Rattus norvegicus: one gene and its partner. The protein of the gene in region 2 binds, or shares a complex with, the protein of the main gene of each other region. Links are inferred from orthologs where the notes say so. Each region holds a gene or a part of one and is shown on either strand. Other genes may lie near its edges.

The links.
Region 1: Snrnp40 (region 2) and Snrpd2 share a complex: the UniProt entries of both Homo sapiens proteins name them as parts of the U4/U6-U5 tri-snRNP complex. The link is inferred for Rattus norvegicus from reciprocal best matches to the Homo sapiens genes SNRNP40 and SNRPD2.

Annotation. Positions count from the first base shown.
Region 1 is NC_086019.1:87,921,937-87,931,760, forward strand, and holds Snrpd2 (small nuclear ribonucleoprotein Sm D2), read left to right. Parts: upstream 1-4,472; 5' UTR 4,473-4,546; coding exon 4,547-4,548; intron 4,549-5,837; coding exon 5,838-6,017; intron 6,018-7,041; coding exon 7,042-7,216; 3' UTR 7,217-7,323; downstream 7,324-9,824. Other genes in the region: Qpctl (glutaminyl-peptide cyclotransferase-like protein), read right to left, coding at 1,506-1,787, 3,034-3,177, 3,639-3,848. UniProt on the Homo sapiens protein: Plays a role in pre-mRNA splicing as a core component of the spliceosomal U1, U2, U4 and U5 small nuclear ribonucleoproteins (snRNPs), the building blocks of the spliceosome.
Region 2 is NC_086023.1:148,008,241-148,017,964, forward strand, and holds the end of Snrnp40 (U5 small nuclear ribonucleoprotein 40 kDa protein), read left to right. Parts: intron 1-2,640; coding exon 2,641-2,723; intron 2,724-4,356; coding exon 4,357-4,418; intron 4,419-7,472; coding exon 7,473-7,576; intron 7,577-9,208; coding exon 9,209-9,258; 3' UTR 9,259-9,692; downstream 9,693-9,724. UniProt on the Homo sapiens protein: Required for pre-mRNA splicing as component of the activated spliceosome. Component of the U5 small nuclear ribonucleoprotein (snRNP) complex and the U4/U6-U5 tri-snRNP complex, building blocks of the spliceosome.

The sequences.
Region 1 (9,824 bases), on a different chromosome or scaffold from region 2:
TGTAGCCCATATGCTACACCTGCAGGCTTTCATCCAATTGCCCAGGCTACCCTTGAGCTCACTCTATAGCCCAGGCTGGCCTTGAACTCTGCTTCCTCAGGCCTCTATGTCTGGAGGAGCTGGGATTACAGGCCTGAACCACCAGGGTTGGCTCAATTTCTTCAACTACGAATGGGGCTAATAACAGCTCTGTTCACAGGATCACATTTGAAATCAGGTCTTTAAGAACTGAAAACAAGTCAGCTCTGGTTATTATTACTTAAGTCTCGCTGGGCAAGATAGACAGACAGACAGACAGACCAACCCACAAGGGAAGAACTGCACAAACAGCAGATCACAATTAGGACAAATGCTTCTAAGATCACCAGCTTCTGAGGGTCCAGGAGGTTGATCTGGCTGGCAGAGGCCGCTGGCTCTACTGGACAGGGGTGTTTGCACTGAGAGTGAGTTGATGGGACGTGACCTAGCAAAAAGCGAACAGAATTCCCAGGCACGGGGAAGGCCTGGACCAGAGCTGGGGCCAGAGGGCTTTGAGAGGAGGGCAGAGAGAGGGGTTAGGAAGATCCACAATTTTCGGGCCTTGTTTTATAACAGAAGCACTGGGAAGCCAGAAAAAAGGGTCTGAGGAAGAGAGACACTTGATGAAATGTGTTTTCATTCATTCCACAGATTTTTACTAATGTCCAACTTTATTCTGACCCAGGGAGACATAACCAGAAGGAGAAGAAGCCAGGTCTGCATCGTGGGACATACTGAGATTAGAGAAAAACGAGTAATTTCATCAGCACCATAAGGAATGGGCAGTAACCGGGAAGTTACTTGGGGGACAGGGAGAGGTGAGGTCTGAAAGTATTCTTTACAAAAGAGAGTTTTGCCAGGAGTGAGGGTGGGAAGGAGGGCCATACATGAGGAAAAAAGTGATCTTTACAGGCAAACAGCAAATGCTAATGAGGCGGAAATGAAGCCTCTGGATTGGAGGGACACCGAAAGGGGTGTGGCTAGAGTGGAGAGCACGTGGGGTCCACCCTCTGGCTTTGGGTTAGGATATGATGGGGGTCCATGGGAGAGTCTCCAGACACAGGAGGGCATGATCTGCCTTTTAGGATGTAGATCCCTGTGGGAGACTGAGGATGTAGCTCAGTTGACAGAGCCTTACTGAGCATGCGTGAAGCCCTGGGCTCAGAGTTCAGAATAGCATAAATAAGACATGGTACATGTACGGCTGTAATGACAGCACTGGGGAGATGGAGGCAAGAGGGTCACAAGTTCAAATTCACTCTTGAGGTTGATGTTAGTACAGCCTACATGAAACACGGCTAGATGACAGTAGGTCTGGCGGCACAAACCTGCCATGTCGCTTGGAAGGGCGGTGCAGAATGGCTGAGTTCAAGGCTAGCTTGGGCTACATACTAGTAAAGCCCTATATCAAAAAAAAAAAAAGGAAAGAATGACAGACGGAAACGAGGACGTGGGCCAGGGACAGACAACCCTCCCCTACTCCTCACCTGCTGCTTGATTCTGCTCAGCATGACATCAAGGGCCTGGACTAACTCCAGAAGCAGGGCACAGGGCACGGCTGAATCTGTGGCCCCCACAAAGGGGGGTAACCCAGGAGGGAAGAACTTAGAGTCATAATGGCAGGCGAGGGTGAGGTGACGGGCAGCTCCTGGGTCAAGGGTGGCCACCACGTTCCCGAAGTCCAGTGGCCCCAAGGGGGTTGAGGCTGTGAATGGGTCCAGTTCCACGTGCCAGCCTGCCGATAGGGACTGCAACGTAGCCTCCAGGAACTATTGGCAAGAGAGAGGTAGGAGGGTGGACAGGGACTGGGGAGGAGGTAGGGAAAAGGGCCTTGTGACTGGAGCCACGCAGAGCAGTCTGGGTGACTAGAAAGTCCCACTTTGGATTAGGTTGGTCCCTTGACATAGGCTTCTGCTGAGAAGTGGCTGAGTGCCAGGTGTAGGAGAGCCATACCTCTTGATAGCAACAAAACTTGTCATGGCTTATTTTGAGACAGATTCTCACTATGTAGTCCAGGCTAGCCTCCAACTTGCTGTGTAGCCTAGGCTGGCCTAGAACTCCAGCTCATGTTTCTGCTTCCAGAGTGATAGGATTATATATAGACCCAGACCACCACCACACCCAGGTGTGGAGAAAGTTCTCTCTCTCTCTCCTCTCTTTCTCTCTCCACCCACCTACCCCCACCCAAGCACCCTCCCTTCTCTCTCCCTCTCTCCCCTCATGTTGATTCTTCCAAAATCACGAGTAGGCCAACTTTCAACTAACTCACTTCCACCCTTTCCCCTTCCTGCCTCTCTCCATGGTGCTGAGGATGGATCCCAGGATTTCCTGCATGCTTACACAGCCACAGCTACACACTGGTGAATCCTAGGCAAGCCTTCTACCGTTGAGCCACACCTCCATCCTCACATTGGAGGAGTTCTAAGCAAGTGGAGCCATGCTCTCACTTCCTCTTGAAAAGTTCCCACTCTGTGCTTTTTAGGATCCCTATGAAATCGACGATGTCACTGACCCCATTTTGAAGATGAGGAAACTGAGTCCCAAAGAGGTTAAGAAGTTAGTCCAACTAAGGTGGATCCTAAACACAGTATCTGAATGGCAGCAAAGCAATGTTATACCACTAATTCTGAAGCCAACCTTCTTGGATTTTAATTTCAACCAGCTGTGGGATTTGGACAAAATACAATAACTTCAGTTTCCTCATCTGATAATGGAGATCATATCAGTTCTGATCTCACTAGACAGTACATTGCTTCTGCCTAGTATAGGGTAAAAGTTTGGTGGGGGTCGTATAGTGTGGGATTTGTGCACCACCAAGAAATCTAGTCTGGTTCACCCACCACCACTACTCCCCCACACACACCCCCAACACACGCACACACTCCCCATCCCTGCCCCCCACCCCCATCAGATCCCTAGTCTGCCTCCTGGCTGTTTTGGGATCTTTGGTGCCTGAGTTCCATTTCCTGACAGACTGGGGAAAGGAAGTTGGGGGTTGAAAATAAAACCCTTTACCTTTCTCACTTGGAGATTGCCAGGACTACCTGGGGGTCGTACAATCAACAAGGGACGCAGAAAAGTTCCCCAGAGACGCTGTGGATCCAGCTGCCCTACCACAAGCCGCAGCTTGGCTTCTGAAAGGCTTCCGATCAGCGGGACCTTGGTTGGGAAATGGGATGGGGGAAAGAAAAATGAAAAAGATCCCATTCCCAACTTATCCCGGACGCGGTTGCCCACTAGGAATGCTGATTCTTCTTGGTGATGCAGTCTCCAGCATCCAAAGATTTCCTAGATTGGGAGAAATCTTCAAAGCAAATCTGATCCAGCCTACTGCAGTCCTGACGAAGAAATTGCAAACGGGTGATGGAGACTTCTAAATAAATGGTTTGGGCACAGAGCTCAGATCTACCAGTGTTTCTATGCGGATGCATCCTCTTCAGAGGGGTCTAATCATAAAACAAGCCTGAAACCTTATTTTGTTGGGAAGGGGCATACGCTCAAGTGATGGATAAAGAAATAGCACAGGCGGCAAGGGCTAAACGATAAGGCCACGCTAACCCGAGACTCAATATGAAGGGAAAGAGGGAAATGACGCTGGCTGGGCCCCAGCCAAGGCTTACCCGCAGATCCCGGCTCCGTGATACCTCCTCAACCCCAGGGTGCCAGCTATTCCAGACGATATAAAAAGCCAAGCCCAGGGCCAGCGCCAGCAGCAGCAGGGGCAGGAGCTGCACCCGCGGCAGAAGACGGCGCTTGGAAAGTGAGGGTGGTTTCATGAGGCCGCGATCCCCGAGCCGCTGCCGAGACCGCCCGCGGCTGGCCGGACTCATGGCAGCTTTGCCCTGAAACCAATCCCCCCGCAGGGTGGTTTGAGTTTAGGCCAAGATTCGCCTCTCGGAGGTTACAAATGCCAATAAAGAAACACAGTAACTGCGTCCTCCCCCAATCGATTGCGATTGGCTCTCCTAAGCGCCGCACCACCCAAAAGGGAGCGCGGAAACCTTAAGGCCCGCCCCCACGGGAGAGAAACAGGCAATGAGCTGTGTCCGAATATACGAAACCTTCCCCGGCGCGGGGCCACGCCCCTTACGGAAGTCGATCAAGAAACTGTGGTTCAAGGAAAAAGGGGCGGCATCCATCCCTAAAACAAGGAACCGATTGGTTTGCCTGAAGCCATGCCCTCAAGAAAATTGTCGGCGGGTATTTTGGAAACCGGGTTGCGTTTTCCTTCTCCCAACTAGACAGTTAGGCGGGAAAACAATTTCAGTCAGACCCCGTTTTATTTTCCGCATGAGCAGACAACCTATTGTGATCCTCAGAGGCTTCAAATCCTCCCTATAGGCATTTTCTGCAGGAGAGCGTAGCCTTAGAGTCACTATGGTAACAGGGCACGCCCACAGTCGTGATTGCGCAGGCGTCGACGGAAGTCAGCCGCAGGAGACGGAAGTCCCGCCCTTCTCTTGCTGTGCTCCAAAGGCTAAAGCAACGCGCTTGGAGGCGGGAGTGATCTGCTAGCGAAACCTTCACCATGTGAGGCCGGGACGGGCTTCGGCGGGGACACGAAGATGGAGGGGGACGGTTTAGCTAAATAACAATCGAAATGGGGTGCTCATAGCTGAGGGTAGAGTTTCTCGGGCAAAAATAATGTCTTCTGAGGGATTTGAGAACGGGCATGGGGCCTCGGTTCTTGAGTTCCGGAGAGGGGACAGCTTTATTCCATAATGGGTGTAAGACTCTTCTAGGTACCGAGGCTTGCGGAAATGAACCGTAAAGGAAAAACTGAGTCTGATGGCACATGCCTAGAATCCCAAGCCTAGAGAGGCTGAGTCAGGAGTATCGCTAGTTGGTGGTCAGCCTTGACCAGCTTCATAGCGTGTCCGCTTACAAAAGTAATAGTAATTTTATATAGAAGTGGTCTTAATGGATGAAGAGCTTGGCGGAGAAGGAAGTACTATTAGAAATAGTAAATAGAGACGTATGGGACTTAACCAGGATAAATTAGGACTTTTGAACCTAATTAGAGATTGTCAGAGTAGCAGGCTACTACAATGGTTTATTCATTGAGCGGATATTATGTAGACTGTAAGTTAGACACATGGTAAATAGAAGGTCCTTGCTACCAAGGAAAAAAAATCTCTCAGGGCTTATAAAAAGAATCCAATAGGAAAGCCATAGAGTAATAAACAAGTACATACAGTATGTCTTAGATGATCAGGAGTGTGAATGGAGAATTGAGTAGGAAAGAAATAACACCAGTAGGTAGCACAGAAGTATTGGGCATTGAAAGCCCAATACTTGGGCTGGGGATTTAGCTTAGTGGACAGAGTACTTACCTACTGTGGGCCCTGGGTTTGGTCCTCAGCCACACACAGACTAGATGTAACCCCAGTATCCTGGAGGCAGAGACAGACAAGTCTGAGTTCCAGGGGCAGGTCTATTTATACAGGGAGACACTGTTGTGGGGTGGGATGGAAGAGAAATGGCCAAATTTTTGGACATATCATGGAAGCAGATGACAAGATAAGACGACAGAGTGAGGTTTGAAAGAATCAGGTGCCAGGCATGATGGTGAGCCCCCTGTAATCTCAGACCTTGGGTGATGGAGTCAGGAGAATTGAGAATTCAAGGTCAACAGTGGCTGGACGAGGTTTGGTTAATGAGCTGGAGCAGGCTAACTTGGAAATGTCTCTCCTGCCTCCAGAGAAGACTGTACCAGGAAGGGCATTTGGGGGCCAGGCTGGGGAGACACTGGACAATGTAGCTTTGGTCACTTATGCTTCCAACCTGAACCCGTCTCACCCCCCGGGTTCTCTATCCAGGAGTCTCCTCAATAAACCCAAGAGTGAGATGACCCCAGAGGAGCTGCAGAAGCGGGAGGAGGAGGAATTCAACACAGGTCCCCTCTCGGTGCTCACACAGTCGGTCAAAAACAACACGCAAGTGCTCATTAACTGTCGAAACAACAAGAAGCTCCTGGGCCGGGTGAAGGCCTTTGACAGGTGGGCATTGTCTTGGGGAAGGTCATTTGAGAAGAATTGTCGTAATAAGGTGGGCAAGGTGACAAAGTGCCTTTAGTCTCAGCACTCAAGGGGATCACTGTCAGTTGGAGCCAGCCAGGGTCACAGGGCAAGACCCAGCTAGCTCAAAAAATTAGAAAGTGGGGGTGCTTGGCTTTTTTTTTTTTATCTTATGTGTTTGGGCGTTTTGTCTGCGGGTGAGTCTGTCTGTGTACTGTGGACATGTCTAATACCTTCAGAAGTCATCAGATCCCCGGCAGGAGGAGGGACAGGAATTAAGATGTTTGGTTTGTTCCTCTGTAGGCCAGACATCAATGTCAAATATCTTCTACTGCTTTCTAGTTTGTTTTGAGGCAGGGTCTTTAACTATGTAGCCTGGGCTGGCTACAGATGTAGCAGAGGCTAACCTTATGCTTCTGATCCTCTTGCTACCATCTCCCAAGCGCTAGGATTACAGGGGCGAAGCATACCCTCCTGCCTTGTTTTAGTTAGCATGGAAGTTGCCTTGTGACGTGGTCCTACACATCTGGCATTGTACTTTGCTCATCGTCACTGTCCTCAAGCAAGCATTCGTGGAATGAACTGATCCAAGTGTGAGCACATGTCCACCTGCATGAGGACAGGGCCATGAGGCACTGGAGTGCACGTGTTGGGAACCATGTCTAACCCCAGAACTTAAGGTTTGGAGGGAGCTAATGCTTCTCTCAGAGTTAGAGTTAACTGCAGAGCCAGGGCCATTTTGGTGACCTTTACTGTGTACCGGGGTCCTAAGTGCTTCTTTCATCCAATCTTCACATCAGCCCCATGAAGTAGACTGTTTCCATTTCAAGAAGGGGGAAACTGAGGCACAGAAGGGACACTTAAGATGGGGCTGAGATCACACCTTGAAGCCTGCCCATCCCCACTGTGGAACCTGAACTCCGTCCCTATGCCTGCTGCTGGAGGGTTCACACATTCAGAATGTCCCCCTCACTCTGGCTTTTTCCTCCACCCTTTACCCCATCAGGCACTGCAACATGGTGCTGGAAAATGTGAAGGAGATGTGGACTGAGGTCCCCAAGAGCGGCAAGGGCAAGAAGAAGTCCAAGCCTGTCAACAAGGACCGCTACATCTCCAAGATGTTCCTGCGCGGGGACTCAGTCATTGTGGTGCTGCGGAACCCGCTCATCGCTGGCAAGTAAACTAGAGGCCAGCCTCAGCCCGCTGAGAGCCTGCTCCCTGCCCAGCCAAGTCCCGCAGAGCCCTGCCCAATGAGCTAGAAATAAAACCCTGTGCTTTTTGTTTTTTATGTTTTCTAGTGGTCTTCTCTGCCCTTGGGTCTTAGAGAGAGAGGCACTAGGACAGGGCCTCTGAGTGCTGGGGCATATGACTGCCCTGACTGCCAAGTAGACCGCCAAATTTGACTTTTGTGTATTGTGTGGCGGGGTGCGGATACAGGTGAGAAAGGGGGTCCTACTTAAGGGGCTTGTTGAAGGACCTTGCTGTTTTCTGGACTGTACACAGGGCCCTCTGTCCTACCCACTACTCTGTCCATCTGTATCTCTGTCCCTGCCCTCTCAGGTAATTCTAAACACGAAATTCAGGAGATCTGGGCTAGAGGTCAGCATTATCTGCCCTCCTTAAATGCATACAAAGCAGTATGGGTGTCTGGTCTGGATACGTCTGTTCTCTGTGCCCATAGGGGGCCCGGGAGGAGGGTTGGACTCCCCTAGTTACGTGTGAGCAGCCATGTGGGTGCTGGGAAGGAAACAAGAGCAGCGAGTGCTTTGGAACTCACTCTGTAGACCAGGCTGTCCTCAAACTCAGAGATTCCACCTGCCTTTGCCTCCCGGGTGCTGCGATTAAAGGCGTGAGCCACCACCCTCTAGCTTAGCTGTCCTCCTGAACTGTGGCAGTCACAGTCAGTGGTAGCCGGTAAGCCCCTGTGCAGAGCTGTGAAGCCTGCAGCAGAGAAAACTGCCGTGCTTGGTTGTTCAGGCACACGTTCCTGAGCAACTGCCAGAACAGCTCTGCTGTGGGCTCTAGATCTCTCCCACCCTCTCTTCTCTCTTCGTTCTTTTGTGGTCCTGGGGACTGAGACTAGGGTCTCATGCTTGGCAAGCTCTCCGCAGCCCTCCATTCACTTGTATACATGCACAAGGACAGTGTTAGGTGTCGTCTGACACTCCTTTGATCCCCTTGACAGAGTCTCATTGAACAGAACTAGGCTGGCACCCAGCAACCTCCAGTAATCCTGTCTCCACATCATGCTACAGATTCGAATTCAGGGTCTCTTGCTTATATAGCAAATGCTCCTCTAACCACTGAGCCACCTCCCCAGTTCTTCCACTAGACAGGGAATCTCTTAGGAAGTTTCTAGGGCTGGCCTTGAGCTTGTAATCCTGCCATGGTCTTCCAAGCAGCTCGGATGACAGGCCTATGTCTCCACAGCCATCCAGCTCATTCAGTTGAAATCATTGAGATTCAGGAAGGGCATTAACATGTCCCAAAGTCACCCAAGTGAGAAAATAATGGTGCTACATTCAGATAGACAGGCAGGGCTGATGAAATGGCTCAGTGGCTACCAAGTTTAATGCCTAGCACCCATACCTGGCTTTAACTACAAAGCCAGGGGGATCCAGTGCTCTTGCTTCCTTGGGCACTTGCACACAAATACACATAGATTAAAAGCAGATCTGTATGCCAGGGGCATGCATTTGATCCCAGCACTCAGGAGGCAGAAGCAGAGGCAGGGAAGTCTTTGTGAGGCCAGCCTGGTCTACAGAGTGAGTTCCAAGACAGCCAGGGCTACACAGAGAAACCCTTCCTCAAAAACAAGTAAATGAAAGCAGACATGAGTGTACCCGAGATCCCCACAGCTTGAGAGACTGAGGCAGGATTGCTACAAGTTCAAGACCAGCCTGGGTTTACCTGGTGAGCCAGGCACAGTGAGGTCATCTCAAAAAGATTCCATTGAAAGCACATTCGGAAAGGAGCTAGCCTGCCCCCCCCCCCCCTTCCCATTTGATAGGCACCCATGATGCTGGCCCAGTGAGGGTGAGCACCTGCCCTCCCCGCTCCTTGGGGCTCTAGTGCTGAGGAGAAGCAGGGCCAGGCAGGGACGCAGCTCCGCTCTTCACTTAGCTCCGTCTGCACTGAGAACCTAGGATCAGAGCCTCCCAATCCACAAGAGCTGCAGCCCTCCCTCTGCATTCTGGGAAGGGAGAGAAAGGGAGTTGGTCTCTTGCCAGGCAAGTGGGCGACAGTGCCATGGAGGAAGACAACGGCCACTCTGTGGTGACCTAAAGAGCAGCAGTCGGAGCTCAACGTGGCTGCTGGGCCTTCACAGCTTGTGTGTTTTCCATAGCCAAGACTACAGTGAGAGACCCCGTCTCAAAAAGCCCAAATAAGTAATAAAAAGTAAAATTGTAAGCTGTGCTGCCAGGCTGGTGGGCAATGTCAGTCCCTTCAGCTTCCCTGAAGCCCATTTACCTCGCCCAGGAACAGGGCTGGACTGAGCCTTCAGGTCACAGGCTCAGGCTATAGTCCCTGCCTCGTCTCCCTGAATCCTCCTCACCAGACATGGAGATTTTGATTGTCCTGGGCACTTGGCTGCCCGAATGGTGCTTTTATCTAGCTTTTTTTTTTTTCTTACTTGCATGTAACGGTGGTAGTGTGTATGTATGTGTGCATGTTCACATGTGAATGGGTACATGTGCACACATTTGTATGTATGGAGGCCCCCGGGTGACATGGGAAGTCTTCCTTGATCACTCCCCCATTATCCCCCCATATGTGGGCTATATGGGC
Region 2 (9,724 bases):
GGTTCTTTTTTTTTTTTTGGTTCTTTTTTTTTGGAGCTGGGGACCAAACCCAGGGCCTTGCACTTCCTAGGTAAGCGCTCTACCACTGAGCTAAATCCCCAACCCCCATTTGAAGCTTTCTTATGTGCTCTTTTCTGACAGTTGTCTTCCCTCGGTAGCAAAGTCCTCAGGAAAACGTGTCACCATTCTGGCTTTCCCAGCACATTCCCTTTCCCATTCCCTCTGCTTGTCACTGAGGTACAGAGTGGGAGGATGGGTTTGCTGTAGTGAGACGGACAGTGGCAAGTAGGAAATGCCCTTGCTGTGCAGGCTGGCAGGCTTGTGGAGACCAGAGCACAAGTGTGTTTGGTGTGTAACAGATGCTGAGGAAGTGCCTGTTGATGGCTCTGCGTCTTTACTTCCTGAACGTGTTCTCACGTCAGGAGCAAACGTCCCGATGTAGCCACCCTTGCTGTATAATGGCTCTCACTGCTGTTCACAGTGCATGATTGCACGTGACCTTGGGTGGATTTACCTTTAGTCTATGTTCTGAAAGTAAGGAACACGAAGCCTTCCCTACATCGCTGTTAGAATAGTGAGAATCCTTGTTACTGTTATCCTTTGAATAGGCTTATTGTTTTAAAAGCTCAAAGTTAACCTCAGTTAATAGTCAAGGTTACCCAGGGCTACATGAGACTGTATCCAAAAAAAAAAAAAAAAATGTGGTGTTTAGGTGGTGGTGGTGGTGTTCTTAATTTTGCAGAGCAGGAAGCCAAGATGTATTCTCACTTTACCTGGATTACCCATATTTCTATATAAGATTCAAAATTAGATTGAGTTCGTGTTTTCTAAGGCACGAGTGTATGGTTGAGCACTTGCCTGGTGTACGTGAGGCCCTGGATTAAATCCCCAGCAACTGGGAATGGGGACAGTGTTTGCATGTACTGGGGATGGGGAGCAGTGCGTGTGTCTTGGGGAGGAAGGACAGTGTCATACACACTAATCTCACTAGGATGGTTTCTGTCAGTGCCTATCAAGTGAAAGGGAAGGAGAAGTTGGGTTTTACCGACTTCTTCACAGCAGTCGGTGGAGGCTAAGGGAGATGACTCAGTAAAGTGCCTGCTGTTCAGACCTGAGGACCTGAGTTCAGACATCTGTAATCCCAGCTGCAAGGGATTCCCTGGGGTTCCCTGGGGGCTCCCTGGGCAGCCAGTCTAGCAGCGCAGAGTGTTTTAGGCTCAGTGAACCCTGTTTCAAAAAATAAGGTAGAAGCTGAGCACAGTGTTCACCTTTAACCCCAGCACTTGGGAAGCAGAACTCTGTGAGTTTAAGGTTAGCCTCATTGATCTACATAAGGCAGTGCTACGACCTTTACTACAGTTCCTGTGCTGTGGTGACCTGGAAAGTTTTTTTTGTTGCTACTTCACAACTACAATTCTGTTACTGTTATGACTAGAAATTAAATATTTTTGGAGATAGAAGTTTGTCAAAGGGATCTAGACCCACAGGTTGAGAACCTCTGACATACAGCGTTCCAGGCCATGGAATGCTGCAGAATGAGACCATGTCTGAAAAAGAGAGAGAGAGAGAAAGAAAGAAAGGCAAGGAGTCTAGCCTCTGATATCTCCACACAGGAATATACCTAAGCATGTGCTCACATTGTATCCCGAAAATATTTTTTCTTTTTATTCAATGTGTACAAATGTTTGCCCTCATGGATTTACGTGCTCCCATGTATGTGTGCCTGATGCCCTTAGAGGTCAGAAGGGGACTGGACCTCCTGGAACTGAGTTACAGGTGGGTGGCTGTAAGTCACCACGTGGGTGTCGAGAACTGGACCCAGGTCCTCTGCAAGATCGACAAGTGTTCTTAAGCACCAGGCTGTCTCTTTAGCCACAGAACTTTTTTTGTTGTTGTTGTTTTTAATTAAAAAAAATTTATTGCCATATTGAAGCTTTGCTGGATATGACTGTAAACTGTCAGAGATCATTTGGGAACTATTTTTTCATTTTAGGTGTTTTAAGATCCAGGGAGGGCTGGAGAGATGGCTCAGTGGTTAAGAGCACAGACTGCTCTTCCCAAGGTCCTGAGTTCAAATCCCAGCAACCACATGGTGGCTCACAACCATCTGTAATGAGATCTGATGCCCTTGTCTGGTGTGTCTAAAGGCAGCTACAGTGTACTCATATATAATAAATAAATAAAATATTAAAATATTAAAAAAAAAGATCCAGGGAGACCTTAAAGTCTCATTTATATTGAACCTCCTGCCTCATTTCCCACCCCCAAAAAATGGTGCGTGCGTGCGTGCGTGCGTGCGTGCGTGCGTGCATGCATGCATGTGTGTGTGTGCGCGTGTGTGTGTGCGCGCGCACGCGCGTGTGTGTGTGCGCGCGCACGCGTGTTTGACAGGCAGATCTAACTATATTCAGTTGCAATCCCAACTGTGTTGTCCTCCCTCCTGCTTCCTCCGCTCTCCTCTGCGCCCTTAACTTAGTGAGAAGGATGGCCCTGGCAGCCCAGCTTTAGTGTAGATTGTTCCCACAGGAGAAGGGAAGAGTCACATGGGGCCTCCTCCCCAGAAGACAGCATTTGTTACTGACCTAGGAGCTGCTGGCTCCGTGTGTTTGTAGCGTGACTGCTTTGCCATTTGCTTTGTAGTGCGTGTCTGGGATGTCCGGCCATTTGCTCCCAAAGAGAGATGTGTGAAGATATTTCAAGGAAATGTCCACAACTTTGAAAAGGTGAGTAGGACTTGCCTTGGGGGTTGGTTTTACTGTGCGTTTGATCTGAAGAAGTATTTGAAGTGATGCTCAGGATAGAGTTGTTGACGCACTATGAATGAGTTAAGTCTGGTAATAGTAGCCATTCTTCATCAAAGCTGCCCTCCCTCCTGCCCAGCTTCCCATGTGCTCAGATTACAAGAGCTGCCCCCATGGTGGGCTCACAGCTCTTCTTACCAGAAGCGAAATTAATAGAGTGTATTAGAGAAGGCAGTCTCACGGGTTGCCAGACTGGGGCCCATTCATTCCTAGACTTGTCTTCAGCACCTCCCTGACAGGGCTTTCATTTCTGGCCTTATCCCTTGGGAATCTCGATCCTGTAAGTTACTGTCTGTGGCCCAGGCCCCCATTGCTGTTACCTAGATACCAGCTGTCAGAGCCCTGGTCTGTGTCTGTTCCCCTCCTAGCATGATGGCTCCAGTTCAGGATCGTTTTCTCCAATGTGTCCTGGGCAGCTCTTCTGGAGGCAGCTTCCTTGTCAGAGAGCTACTTAAGAGATGTCAGTGGTTTCCTTTTGCAAACTTACCCATACTGCTTTATTTTATAAATAAATTTTATTTCTATTGGGTTTGGTGGGGATTTTGTTGTTGTTTGTTTGTTTTTTCCTTCAAGATAAACAGCAAAGAAAAATAAAAACAAGATAAAATTTTAAAAATATTTTAATAGAATCAAGTTAAGTGAAGCTATGAGCCTTCATTTAAAGACAGAACAAGGGGGTTGGGGATTTAGCTCAGTGGTAGAGCGCTTGCCTAGGAAGCGCAAGGCCCTGGGTTCGATCCCCAGCTCCGCAAAAAAAAAAAAAAAAAAAAAAGACAGAACAAATTTTTATGGACAGATTTGTCCTTAATAACTAGGGTCAACCATCATCCCCCCCCCCCCCCCGGAGCTGGGGACCGAACCCAGGGCCTCGTGTTTGCTAGGCAAGCGCTCTACCGCTGAGCTAAATCCCCAACCCGGGTCAAACATTTCTGCATCTAGTTTTATGTATTATAAGATTACAAAGCAGGCCTGAGAGTTGCCTCAGCAGTTAAAAGCACTGACTGCCCTCTCAGGGGACCAGGGTTTGATTCCTGGTAACCACAGAACATAATTGTCTGTAACTCCAGTCCCAGGGGATATGATGCCTGTTTCTGGCCTCCTCCGTTGCTGGGCACACATGTGATGCCCAAACATACTTGCAGACAGATTACCTAAAATAATACACTTAGATTGATAATAAATAAGGTAGGCCAGGCCATAGTGGCATATGCTTTTTTTTTTTTTTTATTCCCAACAATTGGGAGGCAGATCTTTATGAATTCGAAGCCAACCTGGTCTACAAAGTGAGTTCTAGGACAGTCAAGGATGTTGTTACACAGAAAAACCCTGTCTAGAAAAACCAATACATGAATAAGAATTTTTTTTAGAAGTAAGATACGGAAATATTTAAAGAAAAATTAATGAGATTACAGAGCGTGCTGTTTTGAGCAGGAGTGTGATGGCTGATGACGTCTGGGAGATACTGAAGCCTAGTAGGGAATTAAGTCAGCTGACCCCTAGTGCAGCGAGACGGGTTTAGCACACTAACTGTTCATGGAGTCTTTTTTCATTGCAGAACCTCCTGAGGTGTTCCTGGTCACCAGACGGAAGCAAGATAGCAGCTGGCTCAGCAGACAGGTAAGGGTCCCTGGGTATGAGGTGGAGAATGGGGTGGCTATGCGGGTCCCACACCTAATGCCTAACTGTGAAGACAACAGAGGTACAGCTTTCCACGTGACTGAGGGGCTCTCAGAAGTGAAGCCGTGTGAAGACAAATGGTTTAGAGCCCATGTTGGACACACGTAGTTTTCTGTCTGTTTGTTTTTAGGCCTAGAGAGTCGACTGTGTTTATATCTGTTGGAGACTGATAATCTTCCTAGTGTCTCTGCCTTCTCCTTCCCGTCATGTAATACATTAGAGGCTGTCCCTCCTGCCATTCTTCTCCAGGGTCTCTCACACCTCCCTCAGTGCTCTCTAGACTGTCTTCCCAGTAACCACTCTGCTCCTTCTCTGAGCTATCCATGGCACTCTCTCAGTGTTCGCTCCCTCGCCTTTTCTCTCTCTTCTCCTTCACCCTCTCCCTTCCCCCTCTCTCCCTTTAGCATGACACATTGCTCTTTGTTCCATACATCTAACTTTTATACATATTTTTCTTCCTTACATTTAGACAGACATTGGGGGCATCTCTGTGAATGGCTCTCACAGTCAGAACAATCTTTTGACATCCTCTGTAAACCCAGGGTACTGGTTGGTGCTTGAATTCTGAGCGCTTGCTGTTTCAAGGACAAATTCCTAGGTCAGAGGTGACAATCAAATGCCACCCTTGTATCAACCCAGCATTTGGTCATAGCTGTCAATGTTAAAGATAATTCAGAATCAGCTCCAGGCTCGGTGGAAAGTGCCAATGTCGCTGAGGGAAGCAGGTTAGATAGCGTCCATCTCTGCCAAGTCACTAGGCTTTCCCGAGTATGAACTTAGAATGACTCAAGGCCTTAGTTGTGAATGGGAAACAGGGCAGAATTCACCTGTCAGATACAGGCTGGTTCTGGTGTCTGTGGTGCTGCGTACTTGGGAGAAAATCTGATGGAGTAGAGATTCTGAGTGCCAGGGACGAAGGACTTGTAAGTGACGCCTAGAGGTTCACAGTAGAGGCCTGAAAGCAGGGGTTCCCTTTGGGGACATGCTTAGAAACTTTGCAAGACAAGGTGTCATCATGGATCTCTGGCTGTCTTCAGACTCAGTGCGTACGGCAGACTGGCCTTGAACTCCGAGCAGGAGTGAGCTAGCGTGTCCAGCTCACATCTTCTGACTTACAATGTCTTCTTGCTCCTCTTCCTCTGACCAATCCTTAAAGAGGACACATGGCTTGGTGGAAGGAAAGCGTGCTCCTCTGCTGAGCTTGGCTGGATTTCACAGGCCACCCTGATAGCCTAAAGTCAGCAGTCAGTTCTGTTGTATAAGTAACCTGGTTTCTACCAAATGGTGACATGCCCACGTGTGGGGAGGACAAGGAACCCTCTAAATTTAGCATGTAATTGGCAGCCATGAGGAGTGAGCAAGGCCTTGAAGTAAACCCTTGGAGATCTAGGCTTCTGCTGGTTTCTGCCAACTTGAGAGATAATATCCAACTCAGAAAACCACTTTCCAGCTGTGCCTGGGTCTGGTGGGTTTCCCCTTCTGCTTACAGATCACCTCCCCCTGTGCCCTCTAACCCTCCGCAGCCCTGTTACAGGCACCGGCTGAGCCGCCAAGAGGATTCAGGTCAGCACATGACTTCATTGGCTCTGGCTGTGTAACACACTCACATTAGCAATAGCAGTCACTAATTCTGCGTGCCACTTTGCGTATATTCTTGTTCTCAAAAAGTTAGAATCCAGGGGTTGGGGATTTGGCTCAGTGGTAGAGCGCTTGCCTAGGAAGCGCAAGGTCCTGGGTTCGATCCCCAGCTCCGAAAAAAAGAACCAAAAAAAAAAAAGCTAGAATCCTTTTTTCCCCCACCTTTTTTTTTTTTTTGGTTCTTTTTTTCGGAGCTGGGGACCAAACCCAGGGCCTTGCGCTTCCTAGGCGAGCGCTCTACCACTGAGCTAAATCCCCAGCCCCTCCCCCACTATTCTAACGAAAGAAAGGCAGTTGTCTGACAAGCTGGCCAGTGAGTCCATGCTGTGGACCTTGCCCCCACTATTCTGACTCCAGTGCCGTCAGCCTTCCCCTCTGCCTGGGGCGGGGCTGGTGAGGGACAGTGGCTTGTGCGTGGCAGAGATAGGCATCAGAGGGCATGAGCACTAGCTCAGAGGCAGGGATGGGGTCTGCCTCCTGTCTAGACTATTTAGGTCTTATATAGCCCAGGATGGCCTTTAAATTCCATGTCTTGCAGCCTGTTTGTACCAAGTGCTGGGTTTACACGCATGTGCCAATATACCCAACTATTCCAAGTGTGTTACTCAGATTTGGAGCCCACACGGAGAGAGCACAGGACATAACTAATGAACTCTTGTTCATTTGTTGAGTATAGGGGTTTAGACCATCTCAGTACATTCTAGGCTGGCCTCAAACCCATAGTCCTCCTGGCTTCCCTCTTCCCAGTGCTGGGATTGCAGGTATAGTCTTTCTGTGATTTCAGAATTTTGTCAATTCTGTAAATAGCATAATCAGTCATGGACTGTATCTATTTTGTTGGGGTTTGTTTGTTTTTTAGCATTCTTTTTTTTTTTAAGATTTATTCATTTATTATATATAAGTACACTGTAGCTGTCTTCAGACACACCAGAAGAGGGCATCGGATCTCTTTACAGATGGTTGTGAGCCACCATGTGGTTGCTGGGAATTGAACTCAGGACCTCTGGAAGAGTAGCCAGTGCTCTTAACCACTGAGCCATCTCTCCAGCCCTTGTTTGTTTTTTGAGACAGGGTTTCCCTGTGTAGCCCTGGCTTTCCTAGAACGAACTCTGTATATCAGGCTGCCCTTAAACTCACAGAGATCTTAATGCTAGGATTAAAGGCATGCAGCACTGCTGCCTGGCCTCAGTTTGGTTGGTTTGAAGCCCCAAATATTCTCTGTTTCAGTTGGTGTTGTCCTGTTTTCCAAAGCCCAGAGGATTGTTCAGTAAGCAAACGTTCTCCATTTTGCTTCCAGCCCAAGTGCTCTGACCCTCTTCTAAGGGACCTTCCTTTGTTTGTTGTGGCATCTTGCAGGTTTGTGTACGTGTGGGACACCACAAGCAGAAGGATCCTGTATAAGCTTCCTGGTCATGCTGGCTCCATCAATGAGGTGGCCTTCCATCCCGATGAGCCCATCAGTAAGTCCATGTCTGCCATGACTGCTCCAGATGGGAAGTGACCTCTCTCCAGGACCCTGGGGGTACAGAGGCAGGCAGGCAGGCAGGAGTCAGTTATGTGAATTCAGTGTTAACACTGGGGTTTGAGGGTTTGGGGGTGTGGGGATGTGGGGGCTGGGACAGTGACAGTGACCAGAGGAAGGCAGTTGACAGCATACAGGAGACCCAGCACAGGAGTAACCCAGGGGTTGCTTTTTATACGAATGCTCAGATGGAACTGGGAATCTTTTTAATTTTTCCAGACAGGGTGTCTTTGTGTAGCCCTGACTGTCCTAGAACTCAGAGATCTGCCTGCCTCTGCCTCCCAAGTGCTGGGATTAAAGGCCTGCACCACCATTACTAGGCCAAACTGAAAGTCTCTCTAGCTGGGTCTTACTATGTAGCCTTGGCTTAGCTGATGCTCACTTTGTATCCTATGCTGGCCTCATCTGAGGTAATCTTCCTACCTCTCCTACCTCGGCCTCCCAAATACCAGGTTCTTCAGGTGAACTCAGCACTTAAACCACAGGAGGGGATCTCAGGGAGAGTCAGTATGAAGCAGTGTTGCAGCTTATTAATAATGAGCCTGGAGGGCTGGAGAGATGGCTCAGTGGTTAAGAGCACTGACTGCTCTTCCAGAGGTCCTGAGTTCAATTCCAAACACCTACAAGGTAGCTCACAACCATGTGTAATTGGATCCAGCGCCCTCTTCTGGTGTGTCTGAAGACAGGGCTTACTTATATTGAATGAATGAATGGATGGATGGATGGATGAATGAATGAATGAATGAATGAATGAATGAGCAAGCGAGTGAGCGAGCCTGGAGTGGACACATGCCTCAGGGGGGTTGCTGCCATCTATGGTTCAGTCTTGGAATTGCTGTCCCAGATGGTGAGGTAGCCATCAGTTCCTTACCTCAAAGAAGACTGAATAGACTGAGGCCTTTTGTCACCCCTCAGTTCAGGTCTCTCCATGTTTTTGTCTCTTCTGAGTGGCAGGGATTGTATGTAGTCAAGAATGGTTTGTAAATATTTAGATTAAAATTATATTAAATTTGATTAGCTAGCTAAGCCAATTAAAGAAAACCTGTTAGTGTTCTCCAGGACTCTATAAAGCACATTGACTGGGTGGGTGGGGACTTGTAATCCCAGCTCTGAGTGGGCAAAAGCAGGAGGCTCACTGGAGGTTTAAGGCTAGCCAGTCTACATAGCAGGTTCTAGGTCAGACTGGGCTGAACAGAGAGACTATCTCAAATCTTGTCTGAGAATGCCACAGCCCCAAAGAAACACATAGGTGGACGCATGCATGTGTGTGTGTGTGTGAGAGAGAGAGAGAGAGAGAGAGAGAGAGAGAGAGAGAGAGAGAGAGAGAGACTGGCATAGACATCAACAGTGTTTTTCTTGGGTTTGAGCCTGGCTGTTTCCTGTGTACAGCCATCTTCCCGATTTTGAGAGGACTTGGATGAAAAGCCAGACTGCAATTCCCTGTGTGTTTAGGAGAATTCCAGCTAAATCCAATTGCTCTTCTTTGTCACAGCTGTCTCTTGACACAGGGCCCTTGAGCCCGAGGATTGTCCTGAGCCTTCATTGTCTCCTCTCGCTCTTTCTTTCTCAGTCCTCTCAGCATCCAGTGACAAGAGGCTGTACATGGGTGAGATCCAGTGAAAATGTGGAATGGAAGGCCCCGTGACCCGAGGCTCAGACTACGCCATTGGCCAGAGTCAGATGGTGTCTGGGCTGACCTGCCTTCAGATGACCATCGTTAGCAAGCAGCTGGACCTGATGGCCATATTCCAGCAACCTCTTGTACCCCATTTACCAGAACCACTGTGGCCTCTGGTACCACCCGCCAGATTCAGGGATTGGTTTCTTCTCTTTAAAAATAAGATTTCTTCAGAAAGACAAACGTTGGTTTGATATTTCCTGTTTTTAATCTAGGCTGGAGACAGGGAGTGGCAATTTGAAATTTGTTAGTTGCATTTATTTTTGTTTTATTTTTAAATTGAATAACTAGCTTGTATGATATTTGTTTCTGTGTTTGAGTCATTTTGTATTAAAAATCCAAACAGATACCTTTTTACAAGAACCTTGTGGCTTGGGTTTATTGTTGTCTTTTCTCTGTGGCTTGGCT